Xenopus tropicalis: one gene and its partners. The protein of the gene in region 1 purifies or fractionates together with the protein of each later gene. This does not show direct contact. Links are inferred from orthologs where the notes say so. Each region holds a gene or a part of one and is shown in the gene's direction. Other genes may lie near its edges.

Evidence for each region. The genes of interacting proteins can lie anywhere in the genome.
Region 2: the proteins of usp48 (region 1) and rela purify together in Homo sapiens (affinity purification with mass spectrometry; 3 studies listed by BioGRID, with this or other methods). This does not show direct contact. The link is inferred for Xenopus tropicalis from reciprocal best matches to the Homo sapiens genes USP48 and RELA.
Region 3: the proteins of usp48 (region 1) and uba6 fractionate together in Homo sapiens (co-fractionation; 3 studies listed by BioGRID, with this or other methods). This does not show direct contact. The link is inferred for Xenopus tropicalis from reciprocal best matches to the Homo sapiens genes USP48 and UBA6.

Annotation. Positions count from the first base shown.
Region 1 is NC_030683.2:132,144,355-132,150,742, reverse strand, and holds the end of usp48 (ubiquitin carboxyl-terminal hydrolase 48), read left to right. Parts: intron 1-867; coding exon 868-1,068; intron 1,069-1,859; coding exon 1,860-1,974; intron 1,975-2,162; coding exon 2,163-2,299; intron 2,300-2,388; coding exon 2,389-2,460; intron 2,461-3,063; coding exon 3,064-3,188; intron 3,189-3,357; coding exon 3,358-3,480; intron 3,481-3,650; coding exon 3,651-3,712; intron 3,713-3,815; coding exon 3,816-3,926; intron 3,927-4,050; coding exon of another isoform or gene 4,051-4,055; coding exon 4,056-4,173; coding exon of another isoform or gene 4,174-4,184; intron 4,185-5,017; downstream 5,018-6,388.
Region 2 is NC_030680.2:38,474,163-38,480,550, forward strand, and holds part of rela (transcription factor p65), read left to right. Parts: intron 1-2,459; coding exon 2,460-2,608; intron 2,609-6,084; coding exon 6,085-6,176; intron 6,177-6,388. UniProt on the Homo sapiens protein: NF-kappa-B is a pleiotropic transcription factor present in almost all cell types and is the endpoint of a series of signal transduction events that are initiated by a vast array of stimuli related to many biological processes such as inflammation, immunity, differentiation, cell growth, tumorigenesis and apoptosis.
Region 3 is NC_030677.2:82,735,088-82,741,475, forward strand, and holds part of uba6 (ubiquitin-like modifier-activating enzyme 6), read left to right. Parts: intron 1-144; coding exon 145-211; intron 212-763; coding exon 764-907; intron 908-1,815; coding exon 1,816-1,883; intron 1,884-3,001; coding exon 3,002-3,080; intron 3,081-3,515; coding exon 3,516-3,596; intron 3,597-4,216; coding exon 4,217-4,294; intron 4,295-4,616; coding exon 4,617-4,798; intron 4,799-6,281; coding exon 6,282-6,387; intron 6,388-6,388. UniProt on the Homo sapiens protein: Activates ubiquitin by first adenylating its C-terminal glycine residue with ATP, and thereafter linking this residue to the side chain of a cysteine residue in E1, yielding a ubiquitin-E1 thioester and free AMP.

The DNA of each region.
Region 1 (6,388 bases):
TTTAGGCGGTACTGCAGCCTATATATGGCTATAGGGGTAACTCTAATGGTTGAGTCCTCACTAATTTGGGGCTCTGGTCTGTAAAATGGGGTAAATATGTAACTTAGAGCTGTAGCCTGTATATGGCGTAACTGTATCTTGGGGTTGTGGCCTGTATGTAGGGTAACATGGCTGTAGCTGTTACATACTGTAACTTTTGTATGGGACTGCAATTAGTAAATAACTATGGTTTGGGGCTGGGGTCTGTTTATAGCGCAGTGCTACAGCCTGTATGTGGGGTAACTGTTATATGGGCCCTTTGCTCTTATACGAGGTAACTGTATTGTGGGGCTGTATAGTGGGTAACAGAGCTTTATAGAGACGGTTTTCCTCTATCCCAGGCACTGTGGGAATTAAATCTAATCTGCCACAGACACACAGAAATATATGCCAGTAGAATGCTTATTTTGTGTTGATGTATACTGCAAAAAGTTGTGATTTAAAAACCTGTGACATTTGCTGTAATGAATTAAATAAAACATTTTAATTAAAGGTATACTGTCATCGAATTCTAAGGGAGGGATATATTTCTGGTATTAAAAAAAAAATTTGACAGCGTTTACAGAGCTGCTGTCTGGAGATGCTTGTGATTTACCAAGTGAGAGAGGATGATAGAATAATAAATATATATTACATTGTTTAGAGAAAACAGCACTACTGATGTTAAAATGAAATGATTTATTATATTTATATTTATATTATTATTCAGTGTGATGATAGTATCCCTTTAAATGTGCCTACTAATAGGTGTGTAACCTGCGTTTGTTAGAAGCGTGTTGTTCCTGCATAGCTACATCTTCTCTCTCTGTCATTCTCTGCTTCTTCCAGACAGTGCCTACGAGTTTGTGCCCCTCGAGTGGCTCCAGAAATGGCTGGATGAGTCCACTCCAACCAAACCCATTGACAACTCCAAGTGTCTGTGTTCCCATGGGAAGCTGCACCCCGATAAGATCTCCCTCATGAAGAGAATTTCTCAGCACGCAGCAGATATCTTCTACAAGCGGTATGGGGGCAGCCCTCGCCTGACTGGTAAGCACAGCTGGGGTATCCCCAGGAACCAGTGAGAAAATCCATTGGGTAATGACGGCACCGCAATACATTGTTATTGATTTATTGTAACAAACGGTATAGCAACTTTCATGTTCTCATTTTTTGTTTTCTTGTTTGACTTTTGTAAAACAAATAACATTTTTAAAAAAAAGAATCCATTGGGCCCAGTTTATAAGCCCCATGTGGAACCATCCCCACTAAACTAATTTCAGGGGTAGGGTAAAGTACAAAGGGTAAACTCTAGCTAGCCCTTCCAACCTGTTCCCTGCAGGGTCGGACTGGGAGGTGCAGGGCCCACCGGGGCCTCTGTCTCAGGGACCCCTGCACCCCCCCAATGGCCCCGCCGCCTTCACCGCCCCCCCTCCCCCCACAGAGGCTCCCAACACCTTCCGACCCCCTCCCCTGGACGCTCCTAAAAGAATCTTACCTGCGGCGCTTCGGGGGAGGGGGATGATGGATCGCGGGAACGCCCTGGGGGGGTACTGGATCTGGGCCGCCAGGGCCCACTGGGTTTTTTCTCGGTACCCCGGTGGCCCAGTCTGACGCTGGTTCCCTGCCCCTCTTGCTGATATTGGGAGGGACAGCAGTGCAGGAGCAGAAAATAGAATAAGAGATAAGTAATAGGGATTGTTATATTCACCCCAGAGAAGATTGTAAGGGGCTAATCCATGGGGCAAGTGGATTTCAACTTCCACAATACTGATTAGGATTGCTAACCAGTCTGCTTGGTGCTTACCCCCCGACAATGTATCTTTTACCCCCCTTTCTAGATGATGCTCTCTGCAAGGACTGTGTGGTAGAAAGATGCAGGGTTCTGCGCTTGAAGAACCAACTGAATGAAGATTACAAATCGTTAACTAATATGGTTAAGCTTCCAGTGGAGAGGTAATATATTCATTCCTTTGCCTAACCTGTCTTATCGTTAGCACTAAAATGCAAGGCAGATCTTATTAGGAACCTCCCCCTGGGTAAGGGAATCCACTCTGCATCAGTAGAATTCTTGTTATTACAGTGAATGGTGACCCCTAACTACAAGAAAGTGATTAATTCATGACTTCAAATAATGTTTCCAGCAATGAAGGCTTCTGGATTGGAAAAAGCTCACTGCGCCGCTGGCGTCAGTTGGCAACCGAGCAGCTTGACCAGCAGGAAGAGGACTTAGCCCAGGGCGATTGGAAAGTAAATGGAGAATCCCCAAAGGCCTGCGAGGGTAGGGGCAACGCTCATATTATTATTATTATTATTATTATTGTTGTTATGACTCCTCCTTATGAACTCCTTTCTCTTGTTTCCCTATAGAGGGGATAGATGAGGAAAAGAAGGAAGCGGATTCTGAGCTTGGGTTTAACGAAGATATTATTTGTCAGCACGGTGGGTACCGCACATGTGTTTAGACTCAGATTTATACGTTTCAGGTTTCTATAGAATATATTACACACTTGTGTCCCAAGCATTTCCAAAACATTTTTCGATCTGTTGCTATAGTTTCCCTTTATCCCTAATGTAACAGTTGAATCCATTTTGCATTTCCCTTCCCCTCTCTGCAGGGATATTTCACCTAACTACATTATGGGGCTGATTTACTAAATTGTTTTTTTCTGACCTTGAAAGTCATATACACTCAACATGGTATAAATTTGAATTAAACTTGATTGTTGTTGCATTTATCAAATGTCATGATAACGCTGCTATTGGTCGGATGAAAATTTCGAGTTTACGTTCGTAAATCACACATTTTTCAAGCTGAAAGTATTGTTATAACTTGAAAAATTCAAGTTTAAACAAATGGAATTAACTTCTCCTTGAAAAGGTGTGAAATAGAAAACAATGATGGGATTAACTTCCCCTTGAAAATATATATGGTATAGGGAAAAAACTAGATATTTTCAAGTTTTAAAAAGAGACTTTTTCTCCTATATATCTGACTTTGTTTCACTTGGCTGAGGCAGTTACCAATACGTTTGTGTATCGCAGGGGGTCTGAGCATTTCGGAGAGTGAGAGGAGGCTGATCTCTGAAGCAGCCTGGTACAAGCTGAAGGAGTATTTTCCTACGGCGCCTGAGTTCCGGCACAGCCAGGAGTCCTGCTCCCAGTGCAAGGTTTGTGTTTGCAGGGATGTGTATGTGCAGCTGGTACCCCCAATTTGCTCAGGAGACCCCCACATACACAGCAGCCTTTATACTTTTGTTCCTTTCCGTCATAGAAAGAATCACTTGTATTACCAAGGGGCCTGTGTTCTGTTTGTCGGTAACACCTCTGTCTCTCTAGGTTCTGGAACAGGAAGGGGAGAGGCACGAAGCTCTGCATAAGATGATGGCAAATGACCAGAAGACGGCACTTCCCAACCTGTTTCAAGACAAGAACAGACCATTACTGGGGAGCTGGCCTCAGGTATTGCCCTCTGTCCCATTCCCATTGGCCTCAGTACTAGTGAGCCAGTGTTTGAGGCTAGCTAGTCCCTGCTATACGTGTATGAAGAGTGCCCCACATTCCTTGTTTAACGATTGTCTCATGTTGTGGAAATGGAAAGTCTTGTTACAGTGTCTCCCAATTTCCCGTAGGATACGGCCGAGTTCTTCGTTGTGTCTCAGTTCTTTGTGGAAGAATGGAGAAAGTTCATTAGGTAACTTGCTTATCTGCCCCCATCCATTCTGACCCCCCTGTTACTCCTGTCAGCCACCTTGCCTTTTATATTCAATGATTTCTTTATTTCTGCTCTAATGTAGGCGACCCACAAAAAGCAACCCAGTCATGTCTATAGGGAACAGTCTACTTCTCTGCCCCCATGGGGGTCTCATGATCTCCTTTACCAACATGACTAAGGAGGACGCCAAACTGTGAGTCTTTTCGTCATTGCTATATTTTCATGCCACACCGCCAACTGCGTTGCTTGGCCACACCCATTATGCCAGATTTTGGCCACAGTTTAATGGGCATTTCTTGTGCCTTTCTTCTGCACAGTATAGCTCCCATATGGCCTGCAGAATGGGACGCTATCCAGAAACTCTTTATTGTCGACCACACAATCAAAATCAGCCGAACGGTTGTAACCAGGGAGGACAGGACATTTACTGTCGACTATGAATCAGACCCCAGTAAGTGGGACTTTATTGAGTCTTAACCCTTCTCTGTATTGGTAAGCTATTTGCTGATTCCTCAGTAACATGTTATAATATTGCACAGCACAATGTTTTGTTGTCTTCATAATCCCAGATTAACCTTTTGTGTTATACACCTGCTCTCCTGCTGTGTAAATTTACTCTGCCCCTAGTACTTACCCAGGTACAGAGCTCTGATTCTTAGTACTTCCTGATCCTGGGCTGCTCTCTTTCCCATGGTCAGACAGGAACCTCCCCCTGGGTAAGTGAATCCAATCTCCCCCCAGTACTTACCCAGGTACAGAGCTCTGATTCTCTGTACTTCCTGCTCCTGGGCTGCTCTCTTTCCCATGGTCAGACAGGAACCTCCCCCTGGGTAAGTGCATCCAATCTCCCCCCAGTACTTACCCAGGTACAGAGCTCTGATTCTCTGTACTTCCTGATCCTGGGCTGCTCTCTTTCCCATGGTCAGACAGGAACCTCCCCCTGGGTAAGTGAATCCAGTGTACCCTTTAACATTTCCAGGTGTACTTACCCATGGGTAGGTTCCTGTCTGACCATAGGAAAGAGAGCAGCTGAGGAGAATCAGTACATAACATTAGAGCTCTGTACCTGTGCATGTAATGGATTTATACAGGTAGACATTTTATTTTTGAGAATTTAAATAGGTCACATGTTTCATCCCAAATAGGGTTAGCTAATGGCAATGTTAACAGGTTTGTGAAATACACTGATATTTCCAATGTGCGCCTATTGAGCCCTAAATAACAGTAGGATATCCCATTGCTTGCTTAGTTCTCACTCGCTCTCTCTGGGTTGCTTTGTGGCAGAGCTGTGCCCAGACTGTAGGGAAGGATTGCTGTGCCAGCAGCAGAGGGATCTGCGGGAATACGCTCAGGCCACAATCTACATTCACAAAGTTGTGGATCGGAAGAAGGTGAGGCTTTGTTATAGCCGGTGCCACGTTACAGGCCCGTACTCTCACAGGTGCTGACCCGCTCCCATCTGTACTGCAGGTAATGAAGGAGGTGGCGCCGGAGCTGAACGTCAGCAGTTCTGACCTGGAGGATGAGAAAGATGAACCCAGAGCAGATGGGGAGACTGACCCTGACTTTAATCAGGTTCTTTATCCTCGTTTGATTCCTTTATTCCTTTTGTTTGATTCCTTTATAACTGTTTAGCAAGTGAGGGAATACAGGGTTATGGGGGATAGCTCTCAGTACAAGTGAAGGAATACAGGGTTATGGGGGATAGCTCTCAGTACAAGTGAGGGAATACAGGGGTAGGGGGGATAGCTCTCAGTACAAGTGAGGGAATACAGGGGTAGGGGGGATAGCTCTCAGTACAAGTGAGGGAATACAGGGGTAGGGGAGATAGCTCTCAGTACAAGTGAGGGAATACAGGGGTAGGGGAGATAGCTCTCAGTACAAGTGAGGGAATACAGGGGTAGGGGAGATAGCTCTCAGTACAAGTGAGGGAATACAGGGGTAGGGGAGATAGCTCTCAGTACAAGTGAGGGAATACAGGGGTAGGGGGGATAGCTCTCAGTACAAGTGAGGGAATACAGGGGTAGGCTACAAGTACAAGTTTATCCAGGGATCATATGAATCATAGGAGTCACAGTGCACACTAACAAGCCGAGGCACACCTACTTGCTAGGCCCCATCAGCCAATGAATGGGCAGAGTTCTGCCTTTTACTCCCACACTACTTCCTGTTACAGTTAGAGCTGCATTATATCTGGTCATGTGATCTCTGGGGGAACACACAGCTGCATTACTTCCTGCCATTTGATCTCTGAGGGCGCACACAGCCCATCACTAAATGGCGGCTCAAAAGATTGTTTTCCCCCACCCAACAAGCTAGAAAGCCACCAATAATAACTGCACCCTGCTCTGTTAAAGGGACGGCACGCTAATTGCCTCACTGTTAATCTTCTGATTTCCATTTAAGGTGAACGGAACGGCTAAAAGACAGAAGTTGTCCGGCCAAGGGCACGTATCTACCCAGAAGCAGGGGGTCCGGCGAAGCACTCGGCATAGGAAAGTGCGGGGGGAGAGGGCGTTGCTGGTCTCAGCCAATCAGACCCTGAAGGAACTGAAAATACAGGTGATGAGTCCAAGCTGCGTTCTCTGCTGCTCTGAGGGTTGTGGGGGCTGGGGGGGCTGGGAATTTGTATTTCAGTAACACGTCCGCTTTATT
Region 2 (6,388 bases), on another chromosome or scaffold:
CAGGTCCATTGCTTATTTTTCTATGGGAACAAAGCAACTAAATATATAGAAGAATAGATTATAGTATATAAAGATAAAAAAAAACTAGGAAAATATAGAGATTGAGTAAGAAGTGGAAAAAAATTGTTTGGAGAGTAGGCCTATGGTCTAAGGTTTTCTAGTGGGTCCCTGGCATCCCAGTCCAACACTGTAAATTTACATTAACTTTTAGTATGTTATAGGATGTTTATTCCTAGAAACTTTTCAGTTGGTCTCCATTATTTTTCATAGTTTAATGATTTGCATTCCTCTCCCTCTTTCCAGCTTTCAAATGGGGGCCACTGACCCGAAAGCCAAAAGCTATTGCCCTCTGAGACTATAATTTTATTGTTTTATTATTTGTCTTCCTATTAAGACCCTTTCCTTTTTCGTATTCCAGTCTTTCATTCAAACTACTGCCTGGTTGCTGGGGATTCTAGCAACCAGATAGCTGCTTAAATGCCAAACTGGAGACCTGCTGGGAAAAAAATTAAGAACAAATGCAGATTGTCTCAGCGTATCAATGTCTACAGCAAACTAAAAGTTAATTTAAAAGGTGAACTACCCCTTTCTTATTTTGTAGAGTGAACTTTTGCAACAATAACCGCTTTAAGCCATTTAAAGGTAATATGTTCCACTGTATTTATTGTGCATTGTTAAAGTAGCCTTACACTACTTATTTGGCGAGGTCGCCAAGCGAGCAGATCTTTTCCTGATATGCCATCCCTAGGGCCAACAATCGAATTGCAATAGCAGACATAGACGCCTTCTGATCGGAGACCGCATCAACGAGCCGATGTGCTCCCTGATCTGACAGAAAATCAAGCCTGCCTGATCGAGATCTGCCCAATTTGAGGCCAGATATCCATCGGGTAGGCATCGGGGTGCAGATAAGCTGCCGAACCGGTTTGGACCAGAATCGGCAGCTGAAATCGGCCTGTGTATGGCCCCCTTTAGACTTCACTTGCAAACAGTGTGCAAAGCTCATAAATACTCACTTGAAAAGACACATTGCTATTCAGACATTTAAACAATTTGTACAGATGAATACAAATCCTGCAATAAGTGTATTATCTGTGATTTAGATGTTTTAACGTGACTTTACAAAATATTTGTATGCAAACAGCATTCAGCCCCCCCCCCTTTTGAGCACTAACAGTGTTATGTGTTTTGAGTTCCAATGCATACCGGCTTTACACACAATTTAGGTGTAATTTTTGGTGTCACATTTTTTCTGGCACATGTTCTCTGTTATTCAGGTCAGATGACACTTGTGTTTCAGTTAATTAGTCTGAGAGATACTCAGCTGGCATGACCTGGCATAGCTCGTTTGCATAATGGCTTCTTTTGTGCCACCCTACTTTAAAGGAAAGTGTTTATGCAAAACACTTAATATCGCTGATGCAGACCTACAGTGAAGTGAGGTGGCGATGCATAATGCTGTTGGACTGCTTCTTATTCTGCACATCTAGTTAAAACAGAAGGAAGCAGAAAGTGTAATTATATCCTATGGGAGGCTTCCAAAATCATGCATTGAAGGTTGAAAGTCAAAGTTTTTTGCGGCGTTTATGATCGTTCGGATACGAAAATTTCAGAACTTTCGGATTGCGCCACGATATTTGCGTACAAACACAATAGGAATTTTCTCACAATTAACACACATCCAAAATTATTGTATTTATTCCGAATTTTTGCCAATCATACTTTTAATTAGCCGAAATTCGGACTTTGATAAATCTGCCCCTGAGTGAAAAAAAGACCCCTGTCCCTTTTAAAGGAGTGGTTCACCTATAAGTAAACTTTTAGTATGTTATAGAATGGCCAATTATAGTTTTTGAACAATTTGCAGCTTTTAAATGGGGGTCACTGACCCTGTGAGGCTACAATTTTACTGTTACTTTTTATAACTTTTTTTTCTATTCAGGTCCTTTCCTATTCATGTACCAGTCTCTCCTTCAAACCACTCCCTGGTTGCTATATAATTTGGACCCTAGCAACCAGATAGCTGCTGAAACTCCAAACTGAAGAGCTGCTAAACAAAAAGCGAAATGACTAAAAAGAACACCGTTTTATTGCAGGATTTGTTGTTCATTAAATGAACAAATTGTTTCAGTGTCTGAATAGCCATTGTTGTCAGATAATGTATGTTTTTTCATTTTCTGCTGTAAGACACACTGGCATAGTTGGTAATGGCCTACAAGATAGCGGTCAACTTATGGGCTCTGTTTGACTTAACTGATGGCTGTACTTTCATAGCTCTTTACCCAGCTGTTTATTAAGGGAAGTGAAAAATTTTTTAGCCTTATTGATCATTCTAATCATCACTTTACCATCATCATAGTATTTGATTTGTTCATTCATGGTTTTTGTCATTTGCACATTTATTTTATTTATTTTTTTATTGTCTGATTGATTCCTTCCATTCTTTATGGTCATTTTAGATAAACCATTACCAGGGCTCAGCGCGTATTCGAATATCCCTAGTTACTAAGGATTCTCCACACAAACCTCACCCTCATGAGTTGGTAGGAAAGGACTGTAAGGATGGATATTATGAAGCTGAACTTTCCCCAGATCGTAGTATTCACAGGTAATGATTGGTTTGGTTACACTTCTGTTCAAAGGAATTGTCAGCCCCAAAAATAACTTTTTGCTTAATTAAACAAAACTTAATTCTAAGCAATATACATTCATTACTTCATTCATTCATTATTTTTTTTAGTTATTTGTATATATAATTGCTATTAAAAGCAGTGTCTACCTGTCCTCTCTAGTCTCTGCCCTGGTGGCTCTGGCACTTGAAGCAATGTAACACAAGGCAGCAGACTGACAGACCTTGTCATGATATAGGCCTGTAAGGGTTAATCAAGCAGGCCAAGGTATCCCAAAATCTTCCAGAAATGTGCCAGAAAGAGATATATAACAGGCCTCTGGTCACTAGGGTCTGGAACCAGCCATGTGTAAAGGCCTCGCATCCTGAAATGCCCAACTCTAATCCCTGGCTGATAAGAGCCATGCCATGTGGGGGAGTGAAAGCCCACGTGGGGGTGACTTAGAGTTCACATTGGGACCCATCATAGGTGATGTGGAGGTCACACCATAACCCAAACTCACAAACATTTATTGTCCCAGAACCCATACTATTTATACTAGAGGTACCAAAACCTGAGTATATGTTTCATTTAAGATGGCCTTTCATACGGGTCCAAACATCACTGGATTTGGGCACTTGGTTTGTCAGATAGGAGTATCTGGGCAGGGGCAGGTCACACAGTGGTGATGTTTAGTCTGTATGGGACCGGTGGGATCATTAAGAATTGATGAATCTAATTTCATCATGTTCCCACAAGGAGTTATGGACATTGGTATCATTGGACAAGTCCCATACACTCAGTCCATACACAGGAGGCCATAAAACTCACACTGTGTCCTGCTAATGGTGACACCCCTTGCATTCCTGAGGGAGGGGGGAGTGTCCAGTTACCTGATCCCCCTGCAAACTGGGATAAATAGTCAGCTCTTCTGAAGATATTATGTGGAGGACCAATTTCTATTGGAAGTTTATCCTGTGGTTTCCCCTTGCCTCCAGGACTAGAAGGACTTTGCTTGGTATAGTATAGGACTTCTATATTTTTCCCTTTTTATTTTAAAACTGTTTGTACTTGTTTTATCGTATGTCCTTTGTTGTAACATCTTGTTTTAAACTTGCACTGTTATACTTTTTATAATATTAAATATAAAATTTAATAAGTTTGTCCTTGATGCTCTAAAACGTACCTAACCTCCGAGTGTGTAACTGTGTTGTGTGCCTTAGCCCTCTGTATGCTGTGTGCTGATTAACCCTTTGACTGCTGGTAAGGAGAGTGTGTGTGTCGGTTCTTTACATTAACCCTTTCTCTACCAGTGTGCTTGGCATCTCTCATCGCCAGTGTAAGAAGTATGAAAGTGGTGGCAGCAAGTTGTGTATGAGTTTGTGAGCGTTGGTTGGTCTTTGGGGTGCTGTGATGCTAGTCTGACCTGTGTGTCAGGTGTGTGAGACTGAGCAAGGGACCCTCTAGACAGCCACGCCTACAGTCACGTGCATCTGAAGTGGCGTAATCGTGACAGACCTGCCTTGCTGGAGGAGCCTGGCACATGCAATTTTGTTAAAAAGTAACAACCAGGATTTCGGCAAATGCTGCTTTCAATAGCAATTACGTTTACACAACTTTTAAAGTAGTAATAATTTTTAACGAATTGATATTGGAAAGTTGCTTAGAATTATGTTTCTAATTTATTAGGCAAAAACATTTTTTGGGGGTTGACGTCCTTTAAGATTAAAAAAAAAAAAATGCTCTTTAGTAGTAATGTCTCTTAAAACATCAGCATTCTCTAAAATGTTATTATTATTGTTCCTACGCCAGGTTAGTACCGCTTTTGGTGTGTGTCTAAAACAGGGGTTCACAGACTTTACAAGTGTATGGTTCTATTTTGTATGCTTCATCTCTGTGATCTAGTGGCCATCAGCTCAAGATCTACATTTTGGGCATCCGTGCTTAAGGCTATTGCCACACAGGGTTGAATCTCGCCCTGCAGATAAACACGCTACATCAGCCTTTCCCTGTACCTGCACCTGGAATCATTGCATCAGCCTGGGTGCAGGCACAGAGAGCAGATTTTGGTACAGGTTTGGGACCTGTTTTCCAGAATGCTCGGGACCTGGGGTTTTCCGGATAAGGGATCTTTCCATAATTTGGATCTCCATAACTTAAGTTTGCTAAAAATCATTAAAATAGTGATTAACCCCATTAGGATTGTTTTGGCTCCAATAAGGATTAATTAGATCTTAGTTGGGATCAAGTACAAGTACTGTTTTATTATTACAGGGAAAAGGGAATCATTTAACCATTAAATAAACCCAATAGGGCTGTTCTGCCCCCAATAAGGATTAATTATATCTTAGTTGAGATCAAGTACAAGGTACTGTTTTATTATTACAGAGAAAAGGGAATCATTTAACCATTAAATAAACCCAATAGGGCTGTTCTGCCCCCAATAAGGGGTAATTATATCTTAGTTGGGATCAAGTACAGGTTCTGTTTTATTATTACTACAGAGAAAAAGGAAATCATTTTTAAAAATTAGCATTATTTTCTTAGAGTTTATGGGAGATGGCCTTTCCGTAATTCAGAACTTTCATAACAGGTTTCCAGATAAGGGATCCCATACCTGTACAACAATACTTACATACTTTTATCCGCGAGCTACAATTTACGATAATGTGTGACATTAGCCTAAAGCTGGCCATACACGTGGCGATCCGACGATGTTTCGTACGACCATCGGTCGCACGAAACATCGTCAGATCCGCCACACACCATTCAGGGCTGAATCGGCAGGTAAGGAGGTAGAAACAATAGGATTTCTACCTCCTTCTGCCGATTCAGCTCTGAAGGGAGAATTTTGGTCAGGCGCCTTCTATGGCGCCCGATCAAAATTTTCTAACCTGGGCGATCGACGAGCCGACCGATTTCAGCAGCTTCCTGCGACATCGGTCGGCTCGCTGACATACCATACACGCACCGATTATCGTACGAAACGAGGTTTCGTACGATAATATCGGTGCGTGTATGGCCACCTTAAAGGCTGTGAGAAAAACAAGGGTGTTTATCTTCCATTATGGAACTGATAATGTTGTGAACAGCAAGCCACTGTGGCTGCTTAGGCAGCTCAGAGAAATTAAAGCCTGAAGGTTCAAAATACAGAAGGAAAATAAACACACAATTAGCTCTTAATAGTTTAACTCGAAGAATACATAGGGAAAATAAAAGAATCAAGGCATAAATAACATCTAAAATGCAAAATAATTTAAAGGGGGAGTTTGCCTTGAAAATATTTTTTAGTAAGATGCAGACAATGGTATCCTAAAAGCGTAAAAAATATGCTGTTTTACACAGAGAAACCTGGTGTTTTGTGGCAAATGTTGTCACTCTAAATATGAATATTGTATATAAGTGATGTGATATGTGATTTAATATGCTGTACTTTATAAAACGACAATGTCAACTGTTTGTGTGTTTTACTAAGCTTCCAGAACCTTGGCATTCAGTGTGTGAAAAAGAGAGAGGTGGAGGATGCCATCGCCCATCGTATTCGGACAAATAATAACCCTTTTAATGGTAATGTCGAGTTATTTTTATCCTTTCTTTGCTTATTCTTTATGCAAAACAGTTGATACATTGTGCTGTATGTCCTTGAGCTGCCATCAGTGAGTCATAAACTCGTGGGTTTTTTAAAGGAGACCCACTCAGGGAAACCATCATCGAAATAAAGTTTTAATTTGATGGGTCAAATACATTGGTGTGCAACAGTCAGACAGGCTAAAGATCTA
Region 3 (6,388 bases), on another chromosome or scaffold:
ATAAATGGCTTATAGCGGGATTTTTGTTTTCAGATAGGAAAATGAGGCCCTTCAAAGAGTTTCTTAAATGTGTTATCCCCTTTAATTTAAAACAAAATGTATTTTTTCCTTAGATGCCTTAATGTAAATTAATTAATTTATCAGGTGCCTTCTGGATGCTGAAGAGATGCAGAAGTTAGCAAGATCTGTAACTGAAGTCTTAAAGAACAAGGTAGGTATTAGAGAGGGTAAACTGCTTTCTATGTTTACAGAAAAGTAGGCAGTGGATGTGTGTCTACTGTTGACCACTGTACGAGTTACAGTATTTGGTGTCATCCAATAGTTGGCCAGAGTGCCAGAAATTTAATCAGCCTGGTTTGTCCCAAGACTTGGCTGGCCATAGATCTGTCTATTTGGTGACCTGGCTATGTATGCTTATCTAAAGATTATCCAAAAGAATTTTTATTTTCTTGCTATTCACAAACCTGATCAGTCAGTGATAGTACAGAATTAAAATGTTCTATTTTGTATCCCCTCATCTGGAATCCTCATACACTGGACACAGGGTTTGGTGAAACAAGTTTGGTGAAATCTCATGTCCTTACCATTCTCTCTTCCCAGTTTAGAGTTCTAATGAGATTACAAGTTTTTTAAAATGGACACCTATATTAAACCTTTATAGTAAGCTTTAAATGTGTGCTTTCCCCTAGCATCTGATTGTATTTATATAAATTGGCCCACCAGTTAACCATAAATCCATCTTTTTGTTTTGTTGATTTTGTAGCCTCTGCTGGATGAGAACCTGGTAAAATGGTTGTCTTGGACAGCTCAAGGATTGTTAACGCCACTTGCAGCTGCAATAGGTGGCATTGTTAGCCAGGAAGTTTTGAAAGCAGTGACAGGAAAATTTTCTCCATTGCAACAATGGGTAAGTTATTTGTCTTATTCATTAACTACTATTTGAAAATAATCTTTTTGTTCTTATAGCTGTGTTCTGTTAATAAATAAACCTTACCAGATATCTGTTTAATCTTCATTGCATTTAATGGTTTTCGGAATTAATAAGTATGTAATATTTAGCTTCATGCAAAAATATTTGTACCTGTTGTCAGGACACATATCCATATATAATAAACTATAATTGTATTGCTGCTTTTGACTATACATAAATACATAGTTACAGTGCCTTGCAGAAGAATATACCTCCTTGATGAGTTCTTTAAATTTAGTGAAATACACCCTATGCTGAAATCATGTTCTTTATAAAGCACTGAAAGTCAGATTTTAGTTTTTTAAATATGACAAAAATGTACTAGTCTGTTTGTTTTCATCCCCCATTTTATTATTTTTAGAGCCACCTTGTACACCAATAACAGTTTTAAGTATTTGGGATTAATACACAAAAGCTTTGGACACTGTTTGGTTTGGAGTAATTTTGCCCTATTTTTCTTGGTAAATATTCTCCATGTTGTTCAAGTTAGTTTAGGGCTTGTGTTTTGACAGTTGTCCTGCTGAAAAATGAACTTTCTCAGAAGATTAGTTTTTAACAGACCTGGTTAAATTCTTTTGCAGTATTTTACCTGTATTTTTTTTCACTCTGAATTCTTCTATTTAAACAAAATTCTTAGACCTTGCAGATAAAAAGCAGTCCAATAATATAATGCCATTCTTATGCTGTCTAGATAAAAATTAGAGAACTGCTCAAGGTGATGAATAATTCTGCAAGGCACTGGATGCAGCTATCAAGCATTTAGTTGCTTATACCTAAAATTAACTATAACTTATTTTATTGTAGTGCAAATTTAATTAGTTGCTTCTTACTTTGACTGTTTGCAGCTCTTTATTGATGCTTTGGACATTGTTCACTCCCTGGAAACAGCAAATCGTGATGAATTTCTTCCAAGGTACAGCCAATGTTTTTCCAGCCTTTTATTGATGTTATGTAGGGACTATTAGACTTTTTAGTGCATTTGTATGTAATTTTATTATGCATCAAAACGTTGCTATGTAGATTTCTGTTTTATAACTAAACATGACTATACACTTTCCAGTTTTACTAATTTCAGGTTTATTATTTGCCAATCAGTGCATTTAAGGGCACCACAGCCAACTTTTTGACCCCCATCCATGTGATCCCATTAAATCACAACTGTTTGTTTGAGTGAAATTCCTGTGTGCCAAGGCCTTTATTCTATGTATCAGTCTGTGTATCTGGTTTGTATGGAAGTGAGAGAGCTCTCTAATGGCACAAGGGGAGATTGGTAACTTTGGTCACCCAGTGATTTATTGTTCTGAGGGAGTGAGACAAACCACTACAAATCTCCCTGAAAGGGAATCATCATAATTGCTCCTTGTGATGGTTTCTACTGTTGCTGGCAAATATTACTGGCAGGACAGGTGTGTTAGCAGAAAAATAGAAAAAAAGCAGACAGAGCGCTCATACCGGTCTCAGATACAGGTGTGGGATCCGTTATCCAGAAAGTTCTGAATTACGGAAAGGCCATCTCACATAGACTCCATTATAAGTAAATAATTCTAATTTTTAAAAATTGTTTTCTTTTTTCTCTGTAATAATAAAACAGTACCTTGTACTAAAATATAATTAATCTTTATTGGAGGCAAAACAATCCTTTTGGGTTTATTTAATCTTTAAATGACTTTTTAGTAGATTTAAGGTATGGAGATCCAAATTACGGAAAGATCCGGAAAACCCCAGGTCCTAAGCATTCTAGATAACAGGTCCCATACCTGTACTGATATAGCCCATCATTTCTTTGGCAGAAAGGACGGTGACTTCAGTGACAATTGTAATGGAATCTAGTAATATATTTCTAATGTAGCCAGTTATATTAGCCAGTGTTATCTATATTCTCAAAGGCCACACAATTTGTCCCTCACACAAAGACAATAAAATGTCCACAAATACCCTTCCTTTTTGCTTTAAATCATTAAATCATACAGTATATTCCTTCTTTTTTACGACTTACCATACAGTAAATTCTATCCCCTCAAATTCTTATAGAGGAGACAGATATGATGCCTTAAGGGCTTGCATAGGAGACACATTTTGCAAGAAGATTCACAACATAAATGTGTTCCTGGTGAGTATCTTTTCTGAAAGCTGTTTTGGGTTGTTATATTTGGAGTAGTAATTCTTTATGAATTCACCAGCAGGGTTGCTTCCATAGCCTGTTCAATTACCATACAACCATTTTTCTGTGTGTTGGTGGGACTTGCATATTTCCTTCTATATAGGAGTGTGTTAATCCTTATGTGTAAGTTCTAGTTTAAATATTTATTTAAGAGCAGAGATACAAACATGGTATTAGTCAGACAAAGGGACAGTTCTATTAATATCCCATTGTTCCATATACCTTGTATGGTCCTATAGATTTACATGACATAACAATGGGCATGTCTCAAACTGTACTTACAATATCATACATGTTTTTACAATGGAGAGCTTATCATATTAAACAGAAAAGTGTTAAATAACTATTGTACTCAATTTGCAGTTGTATTCATATATTCCATAGGTTGGATGCGGTGCAATTGGGTGTGAAATGTTGAAGAATTTTGCACTTTTAGGGGCTGGAAGTGGCTCAGAGCGTGGGCTGGTAAGTTTCAACCGTAAGTTATTTATTTATATGCAGATCTGACCATTTTACCTTTAATCAGGTTGCCCAAAACACTCTCATTGTAGGCAAATGATCAAAACATACAGATTATTATTATTCCAGCAGTTAACTATAAAGCCCTATACATTTCAGGCAGAAATGATCACTGTTGCTGTGCATGTTTAAAATATTAATTCCAGTTTATAATGTGATGTTTAAGACTAAAGGGCTTCAGGTTTAGGTACAAGTGCTGTAGTGCTAAGGATCAAACATGCTGCCCATCTAGTGTGCATATATAAACTTTAGAAGCTGTTTTCACTCCATTTTGCAAGTGCAGAGTATTTCGTCTGATGGCAGTGGGCACAAAGCCTAGAGGCAAAGTGCATTTTTTTTTTTTGTTTTTTTTTTTTACTTCTAATCACTCTTCAACATGTTGGTTGCTATGTGTTTCTGCACTGGAATTTATTAACCCAGTGTTGCAAATGAGCCAAAATGAAAAACTGTGTGTTAGTGTGCACCCATTTGCAGCTCAGCAGTTGACTGGCAATGTCCTAAATCTTTCCTTGTGCCATTGCCCAAGCTCTCCTTACATAACTTACATTGTCTTTCTTTTTAAACAGATTACAGTAACAGACCCTGACTTAATTGAAAAATCTAACCTGAACAGGCAGTTTCTCTTCCGACCCAAACACATTCAGGTATATTTCAACTCCAGACATTGTACGTTAGGTTTCAGTATCCTGTGACCTATCCTTCCCTTATGTTTACAGCTTACCTTCTATTGATTAGTAAAGGAACAGTAACACCAAAAAATGAATGTTTTTTAAAGTAATTAACATGTACTGTTGCCCTGCACTGGGGAAGTTGCCAGTGCCATTCATGTCTTGTTTACAGATGGCTGTTTGCTCTATTCCATGCTGAGTTTATTGTTTCATCCGTTTTCTTCAAAAAAATTGCACCCGCTATATTAATAGGGTTATTTTACAAATATTAGTATGTCACATCTTGCTCTCTTTTCAGAAACCTAAAAGCTATACTGCTTCTGCTGCAACCCTCAACATCAACCCACAATTAAAAATTGATCCGCGGTTAGACAAGGTCTGCCCTGCAACTGAGAACATTTTTGATGATGAGTTCTGCACCAGACAGGATATTATAGTGACTGCTTTGGACAATGTAGAGGCAAGAAGATACATTGACAGGTAGATTTAATTTCTTTTAAAAATGTAATGGATAGTGGAGTAAATCATTACATTTGTTTTCCTGTTTTGTCAGTTCTGTATGTGTATGGCCCTATCTGCTCTTCCATCAACCACTAGTATTTGTTTCCTTGGGAAAACATGAGACTTGAAAGGGCATGAGATAGTCAGTGTTCTTAGTTTGTTAGTTATTTATTTTTCCTCAGGATTATTCTAGTATGATTGTTTTAGTTATATCCCTGCATGTTGCATCCATTCATTCACTGGTAGAACATATTCATTTGGACATACAAAACTGGAGAATACTATTTAGCCTATCCATGACAAAAACAGGTGCAAAAACATGTTCTCTTTAATTAGTATGCTTTCCCCTTAATGTCATATTATTACTTTGCTTTGCCATTAAAAGACTTGATCACTTTATCTTTGGGAACAGTTTCACCTTTCTACCCCCAGTAAGTTCTGTGGTACAGCAATTTTGCCTGTTTGTTTACTGAAGTAGATGCAAAAAGATTCAATCAGTACTTACTCATTTATATATACTGTATATTTTAATATTTTGTACAGAAGAAGTGCCATATAAATAAAATTATGCTTATATACATATAGACTTCTTATATTTGTTTGCATTTCAATCAACATTAAAATTTTATTTTTAAAGGAGAACTAAACCCTAAAAATGAATATGGCTAAAAATGCCATATTTTATATTATAAACTGACTGCACTGGCTTAAAGTTTTAGCATCTCTATAGTAGTATTGATATAGATTGTTACAATTGTCACAGGAGCTCCCTGTCTTGGATTCTGTTCCCCCCCCCCCCACCCCGGAACTGTCCGGGACAGTGCACCTGCTCAGTGTGGTCTGAGCAGCTGCTGAGAAGCTGAGTTTAGAGGTTGTTGCAAATTGTTAAGCAGAAAATGAGGGTTGTCTGTCAAATAAGCTGATGCTACAGGGCTAATTATTATATCTGATGCAAATACACTGGTTTGCTATCTGTCATGTAATGTGAATCTGAATGAATTACTAATCAGCTTTTTACTGTTACATTTATACTCTATTTATGCAGTATATTTTGAGTCATCCCTAAGTTCAGTAACTGACAGCAGCACAGAGCATGTGTAGGGAAGCAGCAGAAAAGAAGATGTGGGGCTACTGGGGGCATCTTTGGAGGCACAAATCTTCCCTTCAAAAGGGTTGTGGTCACCTTGGGCTGGTACAGAAACCCAAAACATAATGTACAACATTTCTGCCCTAATTCTTTAGTGAGGCTTTAGTTCTTCTTTAATTGACATGAGAGGAAAACAAACTCCTGACAGGTCTCATGCCATATGACTTGATTTTGTACATATGACATGTTTTGGGCTGTAGATAAACTAACATATAGAGAACAGAGAGAACTGTGAGGGGTAGCAATTAAAAATGCTTAGTGCATTTATTTAAAGTCTGTTCGTACAATTTTTATTTTATATTTCTTTTGTTTCAGTCGTTCAGTGTCAAATCTTCGACCCCTTCTTGACTCTGGAACCATGGGGACTAAAGGGCACACAGAAGTTGTTATACCTCACTTAACTGAATCTTACAACAGCTATG